4 linked regions of the Macaca mulatta genome follow. The protein of the gene in region 1 interacts with the protein of each later gene in a pairwise test. Links are inferred from orthologs where the notes say so. Each region holds a gene or a part of one and is shown on either strand. Other genes may lie near its edges.

Region 1 (4,101 bases):
CACACGTCTACGTGCAGTACGAACACATCACCTCTGTGTAATTCGGAGAAGAGCAGCTTCTTCCTGTCAAACCTGCTTATCCTAATAGAGCACTCCCGCTTGCCTGCGCCCCGATCTTCTGGCCAATCCCTCACTCATAACTAGTTTGAACCTCCGAGGGCAATGAATCTACTGTCATCCCCCAAAAGGAAGTGCAAACGAGTTCTTAAGTACTCCAACAAATTGGACCTAAACCCCTACTTCCCGGCTTCTCTAGGTGGGATAAAAACAGGAAGGGGTAGGCCGGGCGCGGTGGCTCAAGCCTGTAATCCCAGCACTTTGGGAGGCCGAGACGGGCGGATCACGAGGTCAGGAGATCGAGACCATCCTGGCTAACACGGTGAAACCCCGTCTCTACTAAAAAATACAAAAAACTAGCCGGGCGAGGTGGCGGGCGCCTGTAGTCCCAACTACTCGGGAGGCTGAGGCAGGAGAATGGCGTGAACCCGGGAGGCGGAGCTTGCAGTGAGCTGAGATCCGGCCACTGCACTCCAGCCTGGGCGGCAGAGCGAGACTCCGTCTCAAAAAAAAAAAAAAAAAAAAAAAAAAAAAAAAAAAAACAGGAAGGGGCTCCCCGCGATCATGCAAGGCATACCCGGCCTTTTCCCTCTCGGCCCCAGCCCCGTTTCGGATCTACCAGCGGGGTGCAGTCTCCGAGTAGCCTCCTCTTCAAGCAGTGCCAGCCTGTGCCGCGGGTCCCGGGACCCCCTGGGCTCCTCGGCTGGAGCCGATACTGCTGCAGCTGTTTGACAGCCAGGAAGCCGGGGCCAGGAGGGGCGCGGCCTCGGCGCGCGGGCAGCGCCTACCCCTCCTTCGGAATTCCCGGGCCCGAACTTCGCGCCGAGCGAGCCCGCCCCCGTGCCGTTTCTGATTGGCCAGCTCATTTGCTCTCTTCCGCGCCATTGGACGGCTCCCTAAGATCTCCCGCCTTCCGCTTTTTCTGATTAGTTCACAAGTTTTCCCGGGTTCCCGCAGTGGGGAGGAGCCGCCTGGGCGCGGAGATGCGTCGACACATTCTGTGGGCCCAGATTTAGACGCCACTGCGCCTGCGTACACCTTTCCTCCTCCCTACAGTGAGGTAGGACCTTAGGGCGCCCGCCTTGCGCAGGCGCGGTCAGAGGCCGAGGCAGAGGCGGGGCCCGGAGCGAGGCGTAGGGGGTGTGGTCAAGGCGCAGTAGGGGTTCTCGCGGTGGGTAAGGGACGTTCGGGAAGAGTCGGTTGTGGGCGGGAAGGGGCTGAGCGGGGGTGCTGGGAGGGTTCAAGGGGTCCAAAGGGGAAGGGGGAACAGGGGCCAGGTGAAGGGGTAGATGAGGAGATCAGAACAGCCTTAGAGCTCAGGGGCCAACTGGGTGAACAGCCTTGGGTATCTAGGGGAGCAGTGGGGGGAGAGCAGAGCCGGCTAGCGTACAGGGGGCGAGAGCAGACTATTGAGAGATGGGGGTGAGGGTGAGGACCAGAACAATTCCTTCAGAAAAAAGTAGATTAGGATGTAAAAAGGGACCGGAGTAGGGATCCCAGATTCGGGTAAAAAATAGATTAATGAGGGTGGGAGGGTGGGGGGAAGGTCTTAAAGTGCCCACTATGTGTTAGGACTCGAGAAAGAGGAGGCGGGCGGCAGGCATGGAAGCTGAGGGGATAGTAGAGAGAAGCTGAGAGGACAGCCGCAGGAAAGATTTGGATGAGATGTCAGGACGCTGGCTTTTCTGCCTGGGGATCTAGGCTGCTTGGATTCCCAAGGTCTTGGGAAGGGTCTAGCCCTGCATGTGGCCACATTCAGCTGGGGCCAGGCCTTGGGCCAGCACTTTAATAGGGAAGGACCCAAGAGTCATGGCCTGGTGGTGTCTGGATGGGATTCCCCCAGGCCTTGCTGAGCCATGGAGAGAACTCTGGAGATGGCGCTCAAGACCCCTGCACTGTGTACCTCCTTTCTCACCTCTGGCCAGGGGCAGCAGGGACCATAGAAACTTAAGGAGGAGGGTAAAGGCACTGCCCAGAATCCTGAAAGTATGAGTAAAGCCTCAGAGCCCCTCTCGGTCTGTCTTTTTCAGTAAATTCTCTCCACTTGATAGTTAGTTGCCTGGGTTCCCTGAGGAACCAGGTTGAGACAAGCAAGTGAATTTGGGGTATCTCCTACTTCTTTGGGGAAGTAGGAAAAGAGCTGAGCATCGGGTGGACCTGGCTGTAATTCAAGGATTATGACTTTGTTATTGTAGGGGCTTTCTCTTTGGAAGGTGGCCTGAAAATTGAATTGGAGTGTCTTTGTTTCTCCTATTGTCCAGGGGAACATAGATGGCTGGAGACAGAATCTAGAGCCTTCAAATAATGTGGAGATGTTTCCACCTTCAGGTCAGTGGGACCAGACAAGGGGAGTGGTGGTTGTCTCTGCCTGGGAAACTGACCATCTTTGATTTTGTAATTCTTCAGGTTCCACTGGGCTGATTCCTCCCTCCCATTTTCAAGCTCGGCCCCTTTCAACTCTGCCGAGAATGGCTCCCACCTGGCTCTCAGACATTCCCCTGGTCCAACCCCCAGGCCATCAAGATGTCTCAGAGAGGCGACTAGACACCCAGAGACCTCAAGTGACCATGTGGAAACAGGATGTTTCCAGTGACAGGCAGGAGCCAGGGCGGAGAGGCAGGTAGGGATCCATCCTCGCTGTTTTCTCAGGCTGGCTTGCTAGTGACCCTTCTTCACTGGAATAAACTCCTTACCCTATTTCGGCCCTAGTTTCCAGAACCTACTCATTTTTATGCAAGCAATTATTAGTTCCTGCAGTGCTTAGATAATAAAGCAGTGTGCTAGGTGCTAGGGATGAGGATAACAATAATGAATAAGACAAATCCTGACTTAAATTTGTAATTAATAAGGAATCTAAAATCTTAAGAGGGGAGATAGATTGACCATCAACTGATGGTAAAGCATAGTATGAGGCAAGATGAAGAAGTGCAAACTAGAAGTAGAGACCCAGCACTGTGGCAGTGTGGGTTCATTCTGATGGAAGAAAGCCTTTACAGAGGACATGCTATGGGAGCTGGCCATGCTGTCGTATTGTCTGTAAACATTCTTATTCTTGTTGTTTCATGTGTCTTCCCAGATGTACTGGGATAGCATTCTGCCATTTTGCTCTAGAGTAGGATTACATTAGAAGCAGCAGCACAATGAAGAAGAAGGAGCACTAGACTGGGTGTCAGGAGACAGAGACTCTATTTCTAGTTTGGCTACCAGCTAGAGGACATTTGGCAAGTCAATTTCCCTAGCCTACAGATCCCTGATACTTAAAGAAAGAAAGAAAATAAAGAAAAGGCCAGGTATGGTGGCTCACACCTATACTCCTAGCACTTTGGGAGCTGAGGCAGGAGAATCACTTGAGCCCAGGAGTTCAAGACCAGCCCGGGCAACAAAGCGAGACTTCGTCTCCACAGAAAATAATTAGCTAGCTGTGGTGACATGCATTTGTAGTCCCAGCTACTCGGGAGGCTAAGGTGGTAGGATCACTTGAGCTCAGGAGTTGAAGGCTGCAGTGACCTATGATCCAGCCACTGCATTGAGGCCTGGGTGACACAGTGATACCCTGTCTCTAAAAACAACAACAACAATCTCCTGTGGTCCTGGGTGTCAGAGAGACAGCTGCCTCAGGAGCCACGTTCCAAGCTAGATTAAACTTCACATGATATTGGTAGACAATGTCTCCAAAGGCTGGCACTATGTTATTTATGTACTGTTCTCTCAGACTCCTCATAAAGTATACCTAACACTCAATAAATGCATTTTAACTAGCACCTGGCCTCACCATATTGATACTGGAAGCTCAGCTCTCTCTATGCCCATTCCTCCCTCAAACTTCTTGCCCTTAAATCAGAATTGAGAAGTCTCTGTTCTTCCAACCTTTCCACTTAAAATGTGTGGCCTAAAAATAAAAAATAAATAAGACAAAAAAACACCAAAAAACAAAAAGAATGTGTGGCCTAATGATATACACATTTGATGTTGAATCTGTCTGTATGTAGCTCTCTCTAGGGAGATCATGTTCCATCATCTCAGCCAGACTTTAGGTCCTGTGAG
Region 2 (4,305 bases), on another chromosome or scaffold:
GGTTATTTAATAATCCCATTGTTTTGATGATTCTAAAGATTATAAGTTTATTTTTACAGTCTACTCTTAAATATTACTGTTGAGGCATATATACAGCAATGGTGGACTTAATTCTGCCTAAGATATCTGAGCATCTGTACTAAAATATGAAGCTACCTTCATTTGGTTGGTATGCTAAAGAAATTTTGTAAGTATCTCATTTTTAAAAAATTTGGTTTGTGTGTTCTGTGTGCTCAGGAATTTTTCCACAGTACCAGAGATCACTGTAGTGATTAAATTTGACCCTTTTGACAGAAAACAGAATAATAGATTCCTAGGGATAAAAAAGGGGTGACTGCAAAGGAACATGAGGTAATTTTTGGAGTGATTCTACACCTTGTTCTACAACTATTCTACATCTTGATTATGTTATGATTATGAATTTGTCAAATCTCATACTTAACGGTAAATTTTAGTGAATATAAGCTCATACTTAAATAAACATGACTTTACAATTAAAACAAAAGAAATATGAAGGCTCATAAGAGACTGCTATGACCAATTATATGCCAACAGATTGGATAACCTAGAATGGATAAGTTCCTAGACACATACAACCTATCAAGACTAAATCATAAAGAAATAGGTAATCTGAACAGACCGATAATAAGAGATCAAATCAGTAGTTAAGTCTCCCACTAAACAAAACCCCCCGGACCTGATGGCTTCACTACTGAATTCTACCAAACATTTAAAGAAGAACTAATACAAATCCTTCTCAAATTCTTCCAAAATACTGAAGAGGAGGGAAAATTTTCAAACTCAATTTAGGAGACCAGCATTATCCTGATTCCAAAGCCAAACAAATACACTACAAGAAAAGAAAACCAAAGGTCAATATCTCCAATGAACATAGAAGCAAAAATCCTCTACAAACTCTAATTGCTAAGGCTATACCTTACATAAGGCAGAATGTTCAACAGACTTACTTGTGAATTATCTAAGCCCCATAATTTACTTTTCTTTCCTTAAATGCAATTTCAGCCCATGGTTCCCATTGTCCTCCCCATCTTCTTTTTTGGCTTTTTAAAAGACAGGGAGTCCCTGGATCCTGGATCTTGTACCTATCCCCTTTTTTAAAACAAAAACAAAACACTGAGTTTCTCTATGTTGTCCAGGCTCGTCTCAAACTCCTGGGCACAAGTGATCCTCCTGTCTCTGCCTCCCGAGTAGCTGGGATTACAGGTGCACACTACTGTGCCAGCTCTGGCACCTGGTCCCTAGTTGGATACTTAATCCTTACAAGTCATTTGCAGAAAATATTTTTATTTCTATAATCATATTTGATGCCAAAGTTATGTTTCCAGCCTATCTCCTCTAGCCATCTTTTAGATTCGGAATGTAAAATAAATTTAATATAAACAATGTGGTTTTGGGGTACGAGAACGAATAACAAATAGCAAAATAAAAACTATTTTGGGGTACGAGAACGAATAACAAATAGCAAAATAAAAACTATTTTCAACTAATTTTAGAAGTTGGGCACGGTGCCTCGGGCCTGTAATCCCAGCACTTTGGGAGGCTGAGGCTGGTAGATCGCCTGAGGTCAGGAGTTCGAGACCAGCCTGACCAACATGGTGAAACCCCCGTCTCTACTAAACACAAAAAATTAGCCAGACATGGTGGCGCATGCCTGTAATCCCAGCCACTCAGGAGGCTGAGACAGGAGAATCGCTTGAACCCGGGAGGCGGAGGTTGCAGTGAGCCGAGATCGCGCCACTGCGCTCTAGCTTGGGTGATAGAGTTAGACTCTGTCTAAAAAAAAAAAAAGAAAAAAAAGAAATTTTAGATTTCCTATTGTTCTCTTTAATCGCAGTAAGCCTGACTGAACTATCTCACAAGGACCTCTAGAACACTAATTCAGTAGAGGAGGGTTGCAAGATTGATTGTAACAGAGTAAAAGAGAACTTAAGGTGTGTTAACACAATTGGGTGACAAGAGGTCATGATACATGAATAAAGACTGTAATTCTTGTTTTACTCCATTTGTCAATCTCAGCAGTGCAAGGTGACTTCTAGGCGACTCTATAAACCAGTATCACAGGACCTACCTCCTCACAAACTGTAGAAAAGCGGTTGAGGAACTGTACAGTGTGCACCACAAATTGGTTTAGAAAAGCCACCGTTCTTTTCTGTTGAATAGCTGGCACCTGTGTTACGTAAAAACAAACATGGTTCATACAGGAGGAACGTACACAGTGCAAACCTTTTCATATTTGGAAATAATCACGAGGCACTTTGCTGTGTGATACGAATTTCTTGAAGGACTGGGAATAGTCATTAACTTGTTTTCCTAAACTGTAGGTGGGGTGTCCGAAGACAACAGAGGTGCATAAAAGTTTGAGAACAGGCTCTAGACTCACTGGGACGAATTTTGGCAGGCAGAAGCAACACACATAAACACACACAAAAACTTGGGGGCTGAAAAAGAGGTAGGGCTAGCTATCACAACCGGCGTCTATCGCCGGCGGCACAGAGACACGAAAGATGGGAAGCGAAAGTTGGGAGATGCACACCGTCTCCTTAATCAGTTCAAGAGGGACCCCATTTGAAGGTGGACTGCGGAGCTCTCCCTCCTGAGGCCGGCAGAAGGGCCCGGGGCCGTGACAGAGTGGGGACCCGGAAGGTGTGGTCTCCCCGGGAAGCTGCGTCTTCCCCATCCTCCTCCCGGTGGAGGAGTTTAGTATCGTCTTTTACAAACCTTGGTCAGGTCTATGCCTGACCCCATGAGAGGAAGCCCGTCCTCATCCATCTCCTCTGCGGGCGGGAGACCCCGAGTTCACCCACAAACCCCTCCCAGATGGGGCCCGACCAACCCGGTAATCGCGTCTCAACTTTCCCCCCAAGTCCCCGCCTCCGGGGCCCTTCCCGCCGGAAGAAAATGCCTCCGCTCACTAATCACTCGGCGACTTCCGGAGAGCCCGCCTCCTCGCTCGGCATTCTGGGATTGGTAGTTTTAGTCCAGATTGTGACGTCAATTTCGCGATGGTGCAAGGATGCAGTTATAGCAGTAAAATCTTAGGAGGCAAACAAAACAAAACAAAGCCAGAAGTTGCGTCCCTTTGAGGTTACCCCTACTTAGTCCTGTCTGTTATATAACGGCTCCGTCATTCCTTGAGCAACAATTTTTTTTTTTTTTTAATCCTAAGTGTCATATATACTCTGCTAGGCTTTTACTGTGAAAACAAAGATTGAGTTTGATTGCTGCATTGGGGAGGTTTATGCTCTGAAGAATGAGAAATAAGACCTACTTCCAAAGGGTGTGTGTGTATATACACACCAGTTCCCAGGCTGGTCTCGAACTCCTGACCTCAAGCGATTCTCCTGCCTCAGCCTCCCAGAGTGCTGGGATTACAGTCGTGAGCCAACCCGCCTGGCCTTCCAAAGGTTTTTAAAACGTGAAATAAAACGTCAACTACTAGAGGTGAGGCACAAACCTACGGAAGTGACTGCCATTTACAGGGAGCATGGAAAAGATGAAGACCAAGTTGGCAGCTTTAAAATGGGGGTCTTGCTGTGTCACCCAGTCTGGTGTGCGGTGAGGATTATAGCTCACCGTAGTCTCAAACCCCTTGGCTCAAATGATCTTCATGCCTTGGCCTCCCTAAGCACTGGGATTATAGGTGTGAGCCGCTGGCACCTGGCCCTGTTGGTTTGGTTGAAGCAAGTAATCCCATACATGGAGAATGGTAGGAAATGAGGTAAGAGTGCTACCGGTGGAGGGTGTCCAGGTTCTTGACGTTTTGAACAAAGAATTGGACAAAATGCACAAAGCAAGGAAAGAATGAACCAAGAAAAGCAAAGATTTATTGAAAACCAAAGTACTCTCCACAGTGTACTGGATACAGAATCTTCTTAGGTCCAAATACCCGCTAGAGATTTCCCATTGGCCACTGGTGTTCTCCTCATGCAAATGAAGTGGTGGCCACAATCAGTATGATTGGTTGTGGAAAGCAACCAATCAGAGGCTGAAGTAAAGTTACAAAGGTCACACTCCTATACAAACATCTGATTGGTTGTGGAAAGCAACCAATCAGAGGCTAAAGTGATGTTACTAAGTTGCACTTCTATGCAAAGGAAGATTTGGTCCGCAATCAGTCTGATTGGTTGAGGTACCTTCAATTTCCATCTGCCTGTCAGAAAAGGTGGGGATTTGCAAAGGGAGTAGCCGCTGCTCCTTTTGTTACTTAGGTGTGGAAATTTGGGGTTTACCTTTTGATTTAGTTCTAGGAAGTCAGCGTGAATTGGCCTTAGGTGCCCTGCCTCC
Region 3 (4,245 bases), on another chromosome or scaffold:
AGAATATGGAACTCAAGGCAGTCTGCTGTGGGGGAGGGGAGAGGGAAAAGTGGGGTGAGGGTGGGGAGAGATATTCCATGAAGGGTTCTAGTAACTACGCAAAAACCAGGAATTCCCTTCAAACTACAGTTTGGCAACACAACTGATGTTCGCCCTTTAGGGCTATTTGTAAATTCTTTCTCAGATTCCCAACACATTACTGTTTTGAGTTTGGTTCCCTATACTTCAATTCTTCACCAACATATCTCATTTTGTGTCCTTCCATCCCAGCCAGTTCTGTAACTGACTTCCTATTAACAGCAGGTCGATGGTAGACCCCTGACTTAATCCAATGATGGCTATATTTTCTGAACTAAATTCAGACCACATTGGTCTGTATACTTAAGGATCAAGGGAACTAAAGTCTAAAATTAGAATTGTCAGATGATCCAAGGTGCTCGATTGCTGTGTGCACATCATTTCCTTGGAAAGCTGTCCAATCTACTAGCATAGGCTCTGTACTCCACAGAAGCCTTACCCTTTGCTGAAAAGCCTCACTAAATAAAAAAGCTGCCATGCAGTTTAAAACCTCAAGAGTAGAAAGTCCTTCGTTTTGTTAAATTATTTTGGTTTAAATTTTAAAAATAAAATGTATCTGCTAAGGTTCCTGGTGACTATTTCAGGCCAGTAATTCCCAGACCATCCTCTACAGCCACAGCTTCATCCAAACGTGGATTTCCCCCAAAAGACCTTCCCTGGGGTTCATGGCGTCTTTCTTGCTTTCTCTGAGATATCTTTTCTCTTTTCTAAAGACTCTTTCATTAATAAGACCTGAAGGCTGAAATCATCCTTTTCCTTTCTAACAAAATTAACTACTTAGACATACTTTTTTTTTTTTTTTTTTGAGACAGAGTCTTGCTTTGTCGCCCAGGTTGGAGTGCAGTGGCATGATCTCTGCTCACTGCAAGCTCTGCCTCCCGGGTTCACACCATTCTCCTGCCTCAGCCTCCTGAGTAGCTGGGACTACAGGCGCCCGCCACCACACCCGGCTAATTTTTCTATTTTTAGTAGAGACGGGATTTCACTGTGTTAGCCAGGATGGTCTCGATCTCCTGACCTCATGATCCACCCACCTCAGCCTCCCAAAGTGCTGGGATTAGAGGTATGAGCCACCGCGCCCGGCCTTTAAAAAATTTTTAACAGGTAATACATCAGCAAGGTTCAAAAATCAAACTACAAAATAAAATACATAGCAATAAGTCTGCCTCCCACCCCTTACCCCTTTCTCCTGTAACTAGGTTCTCTATCTCAGAGGAAACCAGTATCATCTGTTTCTTGTGAATACTTGCAGAGATTTTTTATTCAACTACAAGTAAATACAAACCATATCTTTTTTTTTTTTTTGGGACAGGGTCTCTTGCTCTGTCACCCAAGCTGGAGACCAGTGGCGTGATCTCAGCTCACTGCAACCTCCGCCTCCCGGGTTCAAGCGATTCTCCTGCCTCAGCCTCCCGAGTAGCTGGGACTACAGGTGACCGCCAGCACGTCCCGCTAATTTTTGTATTTTTATTAGTAAAGACGGGGTTTCACCATATTGGCCAGGCTGGTCTTGAACTCCTGACCTTGTGATCCACCTGTCTCGGCCTCTCAAAGTGCTGGGATTACAGGCCTGAGCTACTGCACCCGGTCACAAACCATATTCTTTTTTTCAGACGGAGTGCCACTCTGTCACCCAGGCTGGTGTGCAGTGGCGCTATCTCAGCTCGCTGCAACCTCTGCCTCCCCGGCTCAAATGACTCTCCTGCCTCAGCCTCTGAAGTGGCTGGGACTACAGGCGCCCACCACCACACTCAGCTAATTTTTTCTGTATTTTTAGTAGAGACGGGGTTTCGCCAGATTGGCCAGGCTGGTCTCGAACTCTTGACCTTGTGATCCGCCCGCCTCAGCCTCCAAAAGTGTTGAGATTACAGGCGTGAGCCAACGCGCCCGGCCAAACCATATTCTAAAAAAAAAAAAACCTTGCAGGTTTTTCTGGTTACACAACATATATGCCAACGCTTTTGTCATTATAAATAAGGCGTAATGATGATCTTTGTAATTATATTTTGGTTCTCATTTTCATTTCTTTAAACGAATAAGGAGAACTTCTATATTCTTTAAAAAATTGTAAAATCTCCTAGAAGGTGCACTTTATTACGCTATTATTAGCTACTCACCACTATAAGAAAGAGCGCTGAATTTGCGGTAGGGACCTAAGTTTAAATCTTGGTTCGACCGCTGAAACATACTTCGTTTCATAAAATAACTTTACGCTATTTTCGCTTTACGGAATATTGATACTCAACATGCATTCTTTACCGCCAACGCTTTGAAATGGAGCAGGGAAACTGGATGTAAAAGAGGGGAGGGAAGAAAACCTCTTCCTTCTTCCCTAGGGCAAAGGGGCTCTGAATCCTGGAGCCCTTGTTTCTTCAGGCACTGGAAACTCACTGCTCCTGAAAGGGGTGTGTATCTTGAGATAAAGACAAGCTTCTATACGTCAATGTTCTATCCACATCCATCCCTACCCCCCTCTAGCGCCGTGTACCTAGCACACAGTAGGCACACTCCACGTGTTTTAGCCTGCAAAGTTGCAAGTGTGGCCCCCCAAGCCAAGCCCTGCCCTCGTGCGCCCCCTTCTGGCTAGCTGAAAATAAGGCAAAAATTGACTACATTTTCCGGCGTGCCAGGAGAGAGACTTCCGGCTATGCAGGAAGGAAATTGACGAACACGTGACGCGGTCGGGCGGACCCCTGCAGACGGAGCAGCGGAGCGAATTGGGACCTCTGGCTTACGAGCAGTCATGTTTCTCCAGTATTACCTCAACGAGGAGGGAGATCGGGTCTATACGCTGAAGGTGAGGAGAGAAAATAGGTTGTAAATAGGCATGGCGAGAAATGTAGATGGGAGGAATGGGTGAGGCCATACACGGAGTTACCTAGCTGGGTGGAGGGAACCAGAAAGTGCAGAACCGAGGTGGGGGAGAACCGGGAGCGCGCGACGAATTTTTTATTTTAAAAAAACAAAATTGGCCGGGCGCAGTGGCTCACGCCTGTAATCCTAGCACTTTGGGAGGCCGAGGCGTGTGGATTACCTTAGCTCAGGAGTTAGAGACTATTCTGGGCAACACGGTGAAACTACGTTTCTACTAAAATACAAAAATTAGCCGGGCGTGGCGGCGTGCGCCTGTTTTCCCAGCTACCTGGGAGGCTGAGACAGGAGAATCGCTTAAACCCGGGAGGCGGAGCTTGCAGTAAACCCGGATAGCGCCATTGCACTCACTTTTCTTTTTTTTCTTTTTTTTTCTTTTTTTTTTTAAGACAGGGACTCGCTTTGTTGCCTAGGCTGTAGTGCCTCGGCTCACTGCAACCTCCGCCTCCTGGGCACAAACAATCTTCCTGCCTCAGCCTCCCGAGTAGCTGGGACTACAGGCGTGCGCCACCACACCTGGCTAATTTTTGGTTTAGGGTTTTTTTGTTTGGTTGGTTGGTTTTGTTTGTTTGTTGTAGAGACGAGGTTTCGCCATATTGCCCAGGCTGGTCTCAAACTTCTGACCTCAAGCCATCCTCCTGCCTCGGCCTCCCAAAGTGCTGGGATTACAGGCGTGAGCCACCGCGCCCAGCCTTTTTAAGTTTTGTATTTCTCTATTTATTTGTACAACTTTTTGAGCTGATCATTGCATCTTCTGTTTTCATGTTTGCCCTTTTTCGCGCTGTCCCCACCCCATCACTCCTGTACTGACATACATTCTCTATTCCCGGAGCAGAAATTTGACCCGATGGGACAACAGACCTGCTCAGCCCATCCTGCTCGGTTCTCCCCAGATGACAAATACTCTCGACACCGAATCACCATCAAGAAACGCTTCAAGGTGCTCATGACCCAGCAACCGCGCCCTGTCCTCTGAAGGCCCCTTAAACTGATGTCTATTCTGCGGCCTGTTACCCCTCGGAGACTCCGTAACCAAACTCCTCAGTCTGTGAGCCCTGATGCCTTTTTGCCAGCCATACTCTGTGGCATCCAGTCTCATCCTGGTGATTGAGCATGCTTGTGTGAGGCAGTCATGGTGGCATCACCCATAAAGGGAACACGTTTGACTTTTTTTTTCGTATTTTAAGTTACTACCAGATTATTAAAGATAAAATGATTTGAAAAGCTCTTATTTTGTGTTGTTGGAGGAAAGGATTGGTAGTATTGTTTTAAAGGGAGGGAGATGATGGACGAGAG
Region 4 (4,266 bases), about 100 Mb from region 1:
CCCTTTCCACATTGTACTATTTTGGAGGAAGTCACTGTGCACAGCCTAGGGTAGATGATCTACATAAATTATTTGGAATTATTCTGTATAGGAGATTTGTCTCCTCTCTGCCATTTATTCATTTATTTATTTATTTATATCAGTGTAGACTCATGGATATTTTTTACTTTGGTTTGTAATCCAGTACTACTTTGTTCAGTTTACTTCGTTGCTCAGTGGTTCCATCTTTGGCAACTGGGAGCTCTTTCAGGTGGTTCCTGTGTTTAAACATTCTCCCATCAAGACAGGATTCGTTTATTTTTATTTTTTATTTTTTTTCTTCTCATTCAATTGAGGCAGCGTCTCATTCTGTCGCCCAGGCTGGAGTGCAGTGGCGCGATCTCGGCTCACTGCATCCTTGGCCTCCCGGCCTCAAGTGATCCTCCCACCTTAGCCTCCCGCGTAGCTGGGCTCACAGCGCGTGCCACCACGCCCAGTTAATTTTTTTTTATTTTTTGTAGAGATAGGCTTTCACCATATTGCTCTGGCTGGTCTCAAATTTCTGGGCTCAAGAGATCCGCCCCCTTCGGCCTCCCAAAGTGTTAGGATTACGGGCATGAGCTACCGCGCCCGGCCCGATTTTTCCTTTCTTGAGTATCACTTCCTTACTTTTCAGCCTCAGCCTTGTTTTTCAAGGTGCTTTACCATCACCTGACACAATCCACACTTTATGTTTATCTCTCCCCGTTAAAGTGCCGGGACCTGGAGGGAGGGTCTTGGCAGTGTTTTTGAGCGCGGTGTTATCCTGGGAATACAAGGGGCCGCTCAGTTGATATCCAGGGAATGATGAGCCTGGCGGGTGTTGAGGCCGACTGGAGATGGGTTGGCCGGCCGGGTTCTGGGAAGGCTGTGCTCGGCCTCTGTGTGACCGCAGGCTCCTCGCCCGCCTCCTCGAGGGTCCCGCGGATGCAGGACCTGCTGCAGCCTCCGCAGCCACACCCACGCTCAGAGACCGCTTCCAGCGTCCTTGCCGCAGAAACGCACCGGACTGCAAATGTCACCGGCGCAGCGGGGATTCCCGGGGAAAGTCCATCGCACTCCCTGACCTGGGGACCAGAGGATGAGCGGAGGAAGTGTCTTGGGCGGCTAACATCCCACTCCCTGCGCCGGTCTGCGCCGCCCCCGGGAACGCCCCGGGGCTCGCGGGAGGGGCTGGAGCGAGTCCCCGGCTCCGGGCGGTCCCGAGCGCACGGACTCCGGGTGGGGCGGGAACCCGTGCTCTGTGAGCCGGCTGCTGCCGCGCCCCGGCGCTGTCATCCCGGGGCGGGGCCTGGTCCCCAGCTGTGGTAGCTTCCTAAGCGGCGGGGGCTGAGCCGGCGGCGCCCAGATGCGGCCGCGGCGGCGCGGAGCTCGGGCGGCTGTGGAGGAGCCCAGCCTCGGCCGCAGGAGGCGCCGGGAGCAGAGCCGCCGGGAGTCGCGCAACAGGTTTCCTTCCCCATCGCGGCGCCCACAGGGGACGCGCGCCCTGCGGGGAGAGAGGCTTCTCAGTTCGCGCTCTCGTTCCGGGTCCAGGTTTGTTTTTCTCTCCCTGAGCCCCCATTTCTCTTTCTGACCCCCCATTTCTCTTCCTGACCCCCCATTTCTCTTCCTGACTATTCCCCGTGCGCTGAGAGATCCGGGAGGCGGGCGGGGGCACTGTCTGGGCTCGGGACCCGCGGCTGCGCCTTAGTTGGGATTTTGGATCTGGCGCAGGTCCTCACGCCGCCTCTGGGCACCTTCGGAAACACAGGATTGGGTTCCTCATATAAAGCGGAATGATTTTTTAAAATTACTTTTAATTTCAGAGGCTGAGGGATTTAGGATTTAGTGCTTCACAGGAATTATTTTAGGGATACCTGTCGGTAGGCTGCCTTTTTAAAGTGTCCACCTAAGACTATTTTATTTTAAATCGAAAGACTGAAGTGTTTTTGTGTTATCACCTCTTCACTTCCTATTAGGGTGACTGTGTCAAAAACACCAGAATGGGTACTTCTTGACTTGAACTTGGCAGTGTCACTCAGTAGCCAAGAAAGACGGAGAAATTGATAGAGCCTTGGAGCAGTCCCTTCGCAGCCCACGTAAGACTTTGTTTTAGAAAAATGGAGAGAAGTAGTGGCAATGCCTGCGAGAACCACGCCGTCCTGAGAGGGAATTCTGCCTTTTTCTAGACTCCGCTGACACCAGCTGAGATCTGTATTACTTCCTGTGGTTCTCACGCGCTTGTTTCAGCCGTTTCTCAGCAAAGGGAGGAGCTGTTATTTACAGGTATCCAAAAATGAGTCACAGGGCTGCTCTCTTAATTGTGAGACTTTGTTAATGAACTTTTGAAAAGCGAGGCTTGCTCTGTCTGTATTTAAAATGAGACTGTAGATGTGAAATGCCTGCCCTGCTGACCTGGGGCAGTGGTATGGGAAGTGACGATTGAGTTTTCAGTTTCCTAAGGCGCCTGATGTTACAACATGCCAGTAAAGGTCACTGGGTTGATTTAAGATAACCACTAAAATCATGTGCTTTGCCTCAGAAGCCCAGGAGAAAATTAATTTCATTATTCAATGACCATTTTGCTACCATTTTCACTGAATAGTAGAAATGTATCATTTAATGTGGTGATTGTAACTCTCTAAAATCAAAATATTTCAGACAGTGTGTGTTTACTAAATTGATGCCAAAACCACATGGTGCTTTTTGAAGCGGGTGGGTCCCAGCGGGAGCAGAGAAATTTAAAAGTTGAAGCTGACAGGCCCCACTGTGGTGGGTAGCAGCACCTAGGAAGGGACTGCACACTATCTCAACACGGTAGAGAAGGGAGCACCATCTCTACTGGAGCTGAGTTGAGCTGAATTCAGTCCCAAACAACAGTTAACAGGTACTTTCTCTGTGCCAGCCTCTTCCCTGAACCTTGCTTGTACAACCATGAATAATAGGATCCTGCTGACAAGGTGCTAGGGTAAATCTATACCCAGAGTGAAGTTTCTGTCCCAATATAACTCAATCTGCTGGGTTCCAGTGTATTTAAAGAGTAAACTCAGCAGATTACCATCCCTAGATCATTGCAGTCACCTTTAGTTAGCAGCGTGACTTTTAGGAAATGGTATGACTAATTAATAGGTTGTTTTGTTTTGTTTTTTGAGACAGAGTCTTACTCTCTTGCCCCACACGGGAGTGTAGTGGTGCAATCTTGGCTCACTGCAACCTCCTCCTCCTGCGTTCAAGCAATTCTCGTGTTTCAGCCTTCCAAGTAGCTGGGACTACAGGCACCCACAACACCCAGCTGACTTTTGTATTTGTAGTAGGGACAAGTTTGGCCCTGTTGACCAGGCTGGTCTCGAACTACTGACCTCAGGTGATCTGCTTGCCTTGGCCTCCCAAAGTGCTGGTATTGCAGATGTGAGCCACCATGCCCTGCCTAATACTTTATAAATTTGTAACACTATATTGAAGCAAGTTTTTGATCATTGTTTTTGTAGTTCAAATCAATGTTTTTTAGCACATTATAGCCTTGTGAGCCAAAATGAATAAATCTACCATATCACAGTTTACTGTTACAATTGAAATCTGCTGAGACACTTTTGAACTTGATGCCCAAGTATCAAGGTTTCCAAGTTTCCACAGTTTGCTAAGATATCCAACTAATAAAGGCAACACTGCTAAATTTCAGACAACTTTACCTTAATTTCCAAACTTTATTCCTCCTTTGAAAGCCCTGAAGTTACTTTTTCTATGACAAAGGGTTGAGTGTGTCATTCAGCATTGTACTCCCTGAACTTGTCCCAGGCTCGACTCATGAGAAGTGTTGGAAAGTGTCATTCAGCATTGTACTCCCTGAACTTGTCCCAGGCTCGACTCATGAGAAGTGTTGGAAAGTGTTTATTGATGAAATAATGAACCTTCATGTAGGAGGATGAATTGGCAGGCAAGTGGAAGGCTCAGTGACCCAGCAGAAGGAACAGCACCCATAGAGAAGTGAAACAGCACTGGACATTCAGGAAACTCCAGCCTGTTTAGTGACAGCACAGAGCGAGGGCTGGGGAGACAGGAAGGGCCAGATCACAAAGGCCCCATGAGGGTTTATAGTACTGAGCCCTTTGAACAAGTGAATGATATTGTCAGGTGTGTGTTTAAAAAATTATAACAAAAATTGGAATTTAAAAAATCTTAGATTAGATGACAGTGGCATTGACTTTAGGGAGACACCTTGGAAACTGTTGTCATATTGCAGATGGGACATTAAAGAAGGCCTGAATCGAG

The links. The genes of interacting proteins can lie anywhere in the genome.
Region 2: the proteins of CCHCR1 (region 1) and WASHC3 interact in binary tests that used the Homo sapiens proteins (3 or more experiments, as listed by UniProt). The link is inferred for Macaca mulatta from reciprocal best matches to the Homo sapiens genes CCHCR1 and WASHC3.
Region 3: the proteins of CCHCR1 (region 1) and NUTM1 interact in binary tests that used the Homo sapiens proteins (3 or more experiments, as listed by UniProt). The link is inferred for Macaca mulatta from reciprocal best matches to the Homo sapiens genes CCHCR1 and NUTM1.
Region 4: the proteins of CCHCR1 (region 1) and STX11 interact in binary tests that used the Homo sapiens proteins (3 or more experiments, as listed by UniProt). The link is inferred for Macaca mulatta from reciprocal best matches to the Homo sapiens genes CCHCR1 and STX11.

What each region holds. Positions count from the first base shown.
Region 1 is NC_133409.1:151,906,571-151,910,671, forward strand, and holds the start of CCHCR1 (coiled-coil alpha-helical rod protein 1), read left to right. Parts: upstream 1-1,260; 5' UTR 1,261-1,800; coding exon 1,801-2,016; exon of another isoform or gene 2,017-2,043; intron 2,044-2,252; exon of another isoform or gene 2,253-2,318; coding exon 2,319-2,385; intron 2,386-2,463; coding exon 2,464-2,677; intron 2,678-3,387; exon of another isoform or gene 3,388-3,417; intron 3,418-4,101. UniProt on the Homo sapiens protein: May be a regulator of keratinocyte proliferation or differentiation.
Region 2 is NC_133416.1:109,366,382-109,370,686, forward strand, and holds the start of WASHC3 (WASH complex subunit 3), read right to left. Parts: upstream 2,811-4,305; 5' UTR 2,791-2,810; coding exon of another isoform or gene 2,740-2,790; 5' UTR 2,699-2,739; coding exon 2,555-2,698; intron 2,189-2,554; coding exon 2,090-2,188; intron 1-2,089. UniProt on the Homo sapiens protein: Acts as a component of the WASH core complex that functions as a nucleation-promoting factor (NPF) at the surface of endosomes, where it recruits and activates the Arp2/3 complex to induce actin polymerization, playing a key role in the fission of tubules that serve as transport intermediates during endosome sorting.
Region 3 is NC_133412.1:11,536,117-11,540,361, reverse strand, and holds the start of NUTM1 (NUT family member 1), read right to left. Parts: upstream 2,811-4,245; 5' UTR 2,278-2,810; coding exon 2,196-2,277; intron 1-2,195. Other genes in the region: NOP10 (H/ACA ribonucleoprotein complex subunit 3), read left to right, coding at 2,822-2,875, 3,785-3,925. UniProt on the Homo sapiens protein: Plays a role in the regulation of proliferation. Regulates TERT expression by modulating SP1 binding to TERT promoter binding sites.
Region 4 is NC_133409.1:49,410,914-49,415,179, forward strand, and holds the start of STX11 (syntaxin-11), read left to right. Parts: upstream 1-1,456; 5' UTR 1,457-1,551; intron 1,552-1,976; exon of another isoform or gene 1,977-2,283; intron 2,284-4,266. UniProt on the Homo sapiens protein: SNARE that acts to regulate protein transport between late endosomes and the trans-Golgi network.